Linked DNA regions of Callithrix jacchus. The protein of the gene in region 1 purifies or fractionates together with the protein of each later gene. This does not show direct contact. Links are inferred from orthologs where the notes say so. Each region holds a gene or a part of one and is shown on either strand. Other genes may lie near its edges.

Evidence for each region. Proteins that work in one complex are often made in the same cells at the same time.
Region 2: the proteins of PTCH1 (region 1) and GRK2 purify together in Homo sapiens (affinity purification with western blotting; 3 studies listed by BioGRID and IntAct, with this or other methods). This does not show direct contact. The link is inferred for Callithrix jacchus from reciprocal best matches to the Homo sapiens genes PTCH1 and GRK2.

The regions. Positions count from the first base shown.
Region 1 is NC_133502.1:78,815,188-78,817,695, forward strand, and holds part of PTCH1 (protein patched homolog 1), read right to left. Parts: intron 2,179-2,508; coding exon 1,630-2,178; 3' UTR 1,626-1,629; intron 1,136-1,625; 3' UTR 1-1,135.
Region 2 is NC_133511.1:124,362,359-124,366,011, forward strand, and holds part of GRK2 (beta-adrenergic receptor kinase 1), read left to right. Parts: intron 1-653; coding exon 654-730; intron 731-2,379; coding exon 2,380-2,453; intron 2,454-2,595; coding exon 2,596-2,697; intron 2,698-2,803; coding exon 2,804-2,878; intron 2,879-3,015; coding exon 3,016-3,077; intron 3,078-3,653. UniProt on the Homo sapiens protein: Specifically phosphorylates the agonist-occupied form of the beta-adrenergic and closely related receptors, probably inducing a desensitization of them. Key regulator of LPAR1 signaling.

The sequences.
Region 1 (2,508 bases):
ACTGAACAAGTTTCTCAACCTGTGACAGGGCCACATCCACTCTTGAATTTGGGGGTGTGGGGGGACAGGTCATGTGTGTGTTGGTCGTAAGAGGGGCTCAATGCTGCATGCTTTCTAGAGTATATTCTCATGGCCCAGCCAAGGCTCTCCACTAGGCATGTCACCCAATTCTCTAACACCCACGATGATTAACTAATGTGAGCCCCATACCCTGAGGTTCCAGCATCCATCACAATGATCCATGAGAAGGAGCTTATTCTCCTGAAGGACAAATTGGGGTCCTGGATGGCAGCCAATGATCAGAAGAGACCCTGTGGACACGAGGAGAGTCTTGCTTTTGCTGGGCAGATTGGAAAGGACTGGGCAGATGTTTAGGGCCAGCCCTCACCAGCACAAAGTAATAAAAGATATCCTGATGCTTCCAGCCTGACTAGGTCAGAGCTTACAAGGGTTACAGATAGTACAGAGAATCGAAACAAGACAAAAAAAAATCACAGTACAGTACATGGTGAAATCACACACATGTTCACACACACAGCCAAACAAGAGGACCGCACTCAACTACACCTAGAGAAGCCACCAGGATTAACGTGCTTTCTTCATATCTGCTCATTAAACAAAACATTATCACGCATAGCGTGTTTGAAAGTTAACAGTAACATTTCATACTACCACAGGGTTGTGATATGCAAATTTAAAATATTTTAAACAAAAACCTTTACAAAATAATCCTATTACATAAGCAATATTTGCATAGAATTATACAAGTAAATTATACAATATTTAAGCAGCAGCAACATATGCTGAAATTTAAGACCGACGAAGCTTGGTTGTGGCACAGAGCCCAACGCACAAATACGGAGAGGCCCCACTGCGGCCTCCGCGTTCTGGGGCAGGAGTGGAGAAGCCCCAGATCATACTACATTACACCCTTCCTTCCTATATTACACATGTGTACACCTCTTAAATATTTATAGAAATATTTCACAAAATAATACAAGCGGTTACAGTAACAATGAACTGCTATCCTGGTGCAGGGCGTCTTCCATAACTCCAAGCAGTTCTCTTCAAGCAGTACTGGAAAGAGGTGGGGGCGGGGGTTTCCAATCTTTGGCCTCTTTGCTTCAGAATCACCCTTTAAAAAGAATCAAAAAAGGAAGCTGAACTAAGAGGTGTGCGGATCCATATTAATAAAGAACAAAAGCAGGCAGCAGTGATCTTGGCGTTAGCAATCAGGAGAGTAGGGTGTGGGCCTGAGGATTCCGGGGGGCTGCTTGTGACTGCTCCCTTCATCTGGGGACTGCTTACACAGACACGTTCCCATGGGACCAATAAAGATTGGCAAACAGGTAAAGGGTGGTACTGCTCTGTCCTTGTGGCGCTGCACCGACCCTCCACAGGTCAGCAGCAGGGGAAGAGAGACCCAGTGTGGGGCTGGACTGGTTCCCCAAGGATGACAAAGCTTGAACACATCAGCTCTGCCCTGGGATAAAAGGTCACTGGGGTCCAGCACAGGATGGGCCTGAGTGCCGGGGCCCCTCAGGGACGCTGAGAACCCCAGGAGAGCCTTGCCTCTTCTCTGCCTGGCTCTGGGTCCCTCAGCTGCTGACACTGGTGGCACGCACCTCCTCAGTTGGAGCTGCTTCCCCGGGGCCTCTCCTCACACTCCACGTCCTGCAGCTCAATGACTTCCACCTTTGAATCCCTCCTTTCACGCCGGACGTGGAAAGGCACGTGGGGGTCCTCGAACAGGCCGTGGTCAGTCTCAGGGTAGCCTTCGTAGCCTGGGCGGAGCCCCCCTCGGGGGTTCCGCCCAGGCCCAGGAACAGGTGGCGGGTGCACAGCAACAGTCACGGAGGCAGAAGCCGTCACAGTGGTGATGGGCTGGCAGTAGCCGGGCATGGAGCTGCCCATGGCAGTGGACGCTGGGTTCCGAGGGTTGTGAGAACGGGTCCCGCGGGGGCCCCAGCGGTCCCTATTGCTAGGGCCAGAATGCCCTTCAGTAGAAATTTCAAAAGCGTCTCTGCGCGGTCTATAGGGGGGTGGCCACAAGCCTTCTCTGGGGGGGTTCCTGCGGGGCTGCTGGCCTTGCTGTCCAGGAGGCAGGGACCCTGAGTCCAGGTGGGGTTGCTGTCGTGGGTTCGAGCGTGGGTGATGCCTGGATTCGGGAGGGACCACCTGTAGAGGTGAGGGTGGGTTAGAAGGGTGGGCAGGGTGCTGCCATAGGCTGGGCATGGGCCCCTACGGCTCCCACACCTCCCTCCAAAGAGTCAGTCAACCCTGGGGAACCAGAGGGGGCCTTCCACCCGCAGGAGAAAAGCCCATCCTTCCAACAGCCTCCGGGACCTGGCAGAGGAGCGCCTTGTTTGAATCTTGGTTCCAGGCTTTCTCCGACACAGCTGGCCGGACACCACTGCTGCTGTCCATGAATGTGGGCTGTGGTCAGAGCATCCAAGCCGCTGCCCCCAACGACCTCCTCCCCACCCTGTTCAGTCCTGAAGGTCCCGA
Region 2 (3,653 bases), on another chromosome or scaffold:
CTTTATTATGCGACGTAGTAGTTTTTAGTACATTTACCATGTTGTGCAACCCTTATCCAAAAAGAAACCCCATTCCCCACCAGCATTCACCCCTCTCCCTTCCCCAGCCCCAGCAGCCACGGATCTGCATTCTGTGTCTGTGGATCTGTTCCCATGAGTGGAATCTCTCAATATGCTACGACCCTTTGTGACTGGCTTCGTTCAGCCTCATGTTTTCAAGGCTCATCCATGTGGTGGCCCGTTGTCAGTGCCTTGTTCCTTTTTATGGCCGAGCTATGTGCCACTTTGTGAAGATGCCACGTGTATCTGTTCATCAGGTCACAAATCAGGCTTTTGTGATTTGGCCAAGTTCCCAAAGCCAGCCAGTGGCAGCACTGGGACCAGACCCCACAGGCCATGGGCCTCTGAGCAGGGGCCACCTGCTGGCCACCCTGGCCTTTGGGGACACAGCCTGGCAAGGGTGGTGCAGGCAAAGGCTTCCTCGAAGCCCTCTGGTCTGACCTGTGGCTGGGATAAGTAAGTAGACCTGACAGGGTGGCCTCCTTCCTGGAGGGGGCAGTGACACCACCAGCAGCGCCCTCAGCTCGTGTTTCTGGGCCTACAGCCCTGACAGGGCTCTGGGGCTTCTGCTTACTGTGCCCCTCATCCCTCAGCATCCGCAGTGTCATGCAGAAGTACCTGGAGGACCGGGGCGAAGTGACCTTTGAGAAGATCTTCTCCCAGAAGCTGGGTGAGTATGGCAGCGGCTCTGCCAGCCACTGGGGTTGACTTCTTGCCCCTACCCCAACCGGCCCACCTGTGCTCCCCACTCTCTGGAGGTTTGGCCTCCCATCCACTCAGTGAGACCCCAGGGGTTGCTCCAAGTCTCGGTGACCCCGCATGCCTCCCACACCCTGGCCATCAGCCCAGGGAGCCCCGTGGTGGGGGTGGGGGCCCAGAGTCTTACAGGGCCGTCAGGGAAGTTCCTCCTTTGGGGTTTTTGTTTTCGAGAGTTGCAGCTTCCCCTTGGCGCTGCCGCAGCTGCTCTGGGTCGTTGGTGGAACTGACAGGAAGAGGCGGGGCCCTTCCTGTGGAGCCTGCTGAGCTGTGGTTGGCCCCGCCCCACCCCATGGGCCCTCTTTGTAAGCAACCTGCCTGGCACTGGCCCTCCATTTCTCCAGCTGGTGTCTGATGCCTGCTGTCAGGAGTCATATGTGACCCACCCTGTGGACCTGGCCCAGAGGGCAGGCTTGGGGCAGGTCTCAAGGAAGCAGGTGCCAGCCGCACATGGCTCTGATTTGGCCTTCCCGAGAACAGGAGCTGAGCTCTGGACAGAGAGTATCCTGGCCCAATAGGATCAGGCATTGGAGATCAGCCCGGGGGAGTCAGTGTATCAGGAAGCACAAAATTTGGGTCCCAGGCCTGTGCCACGTGTCCTTGGGCCAGTTACTTCGCCTCTCTGAGCTGATGGTGTCCTTATCTGGGAGATGGGACTCATGAGTCTCACTGCACAGGCCTGTCAGGGTCAGATGAGAGCACTGTGCCCACTGTGAAGCTCCTCCTTGTTCCTCAAGGACCCTGCCCTAAAGGCCAGGCAGTGATGACGCTCAGGGACCAGGTCCCAGGGCCCAGGCCTTTCATTCAAGCATAAGGACACCCTGTCTCTATCTGGGGTCTCCTGAGAGCTTTCTCACAGCCCACGTTGCCTCTCCAGTTTCCTGTGGCCCATCCCCTTTCCATACCCCCTTCCCTGAGCCCCTAGCCCCCAACCTCTTTCCCTGGGACCTGCTACCTAGTGGAGGAGCCCTGAGTTCCACTCAAGCCTCTGCCACAGACAATGTGTCTGACCAGCTCCCCGAGCCTCAGTTTCCCCAACTGGACCTGCCCTCCCTGCCACTTTCTCAGGCTGCTGGGCAAATCAGCCAGACAATGGAGGGAGGCTGGGTCCAGAGGAGTGGTGTGGCCCCTCAGAGCCCCCTGCTCACCTTCCCCGCATACTGGAGCCTGACCTGGCCCTGGTGGCCACAGCATCGCAGGGCCCCTAGACAGGATCGTGTTGCACCTGCACAGCCCGCCCTGGTGGGGGGTGTTGGCCTCACAGAGCAGGCACAGGGCCCTGCTGTAGTGAGTGGGGGTGCCAACCCTGGTTGCCCGTCGCCATCCAGCTGCCTTCTGGGGAAACAGATTTCAGGAAGAGGGTAGAAACACGGGCCCCAACCCAGAATCCAGGAGTCTTCAAGTTGGCAGCAGCCGCCTGGTCCACCCCCTTCCTGGGGCCGAGACCACTTCTGCCACCTCCATACCCAGTTCTACTCAGGGAGCCCCAAACCATGCCATCTGCGATGATGGGAAGGGCTCTGAGAGAGGCGTGGCTCTGTGACCTGATATGGTTGCCTTCAGGGTACCTGCTCTTCCGAGACTTCTGCCTGAACCACCTGGAGGAGGCCAGGCCCTTGGTGGAGTTCTACGAGGAGGTGAGGCAGAGGTCTAGGCCCTGCTCTGGCCAGAGAAAGGGAAGGAGGATGGGGCAGCTTGGTGGAATCCACAAGTCACCTGGTGTAGGTGCCCCTGTGACCTGCTGGGCTATAGATGACCTGCGGGAATCCCGTCCTCCAGATCAAGAAGTACGAGAAGCTGGAGACGGAGGAGGAGCGTGTGGCCCGCAGCCGGGAGATCTTCGACTTGTACATCATGAAGGAGCTGCTGGCCTGCTCGCACGTGAGTGTCCTGGACTGGCCCTGCGTGCTGGACCAGAGTCACCTGTGTGTTGGGAGGGGAAGAGAGCACCCTGCGAAGAATTCATGGCCACTTCTGTCTTCCTCAGCCCTTCTCAAAGAGTGCCACTGAGCATGTCCAGGGCCACCTGGGAAAGAAGCAGGTGCCTCCGGATCTCTTCCAGGTATGTGCCTCCCAGTCCCCACCCAGGCGAGGTCACCTTGGACAGCCCGGGTCAAAGAGCCTAGTTAGCTGGGGGTGGGGCCTGGGCAGCCATGGTCTCTAGGGGCTCAGTCACAAACTTCCAGTTTCCTCCCTTAGCCATACATCGAAGAGATTTGTCAGAACCTCCGAGGGGACGTGTTCCAGAAATTCATCGAGAGGTGAGCGCGGGGTGGTGTGGAAAAGGAAGGGCGAGGAAGGGGTTGCTTATGTGGCTGGTGTGGAGGGTAGAAGCCAGCCTTCATTAGGCCCTGAGCTGGCAGGTGTCTGGTCCGTCAGTGGCCCCCTTGCTAGGACTCCTGAGAGGTCAGACAGGCTGCAGGTCATCCTCTTTCACTCTGCCCTCCTCAGTACCAGGCAGCTCACAGCCCGTCTCAGGCTGTTCTCTGGGAGCTAGGAGAGCCACACCACCTGTGGCTCTTCCTCTCCCGAGGGCTATATAGCACTTTGCTGGCCCACCTGGGCTGAGAAGCATCAGGGTCAGTAGGGGTGGGTGCAGGAGAGCACATGGCCCCCATGGCCCTCACAGCCAGAGTTGACACAGTGGGTGAGAATTGTAGGCAGATTTTGGCTAGCTTTAGGGAGTGGCTTTTTTAGTGTCACTGCTGCCCAGCCATGGAGTGAGCTCTGTGTCACTAGAGGTATGCTAGCAGGGATGGGAGCAGGAAGTCTGGGTTAGACTGGAAGACCTCCTCTCTATGCTGATCTGATTCCAGCAGGAAACCATAGCCAGGTGG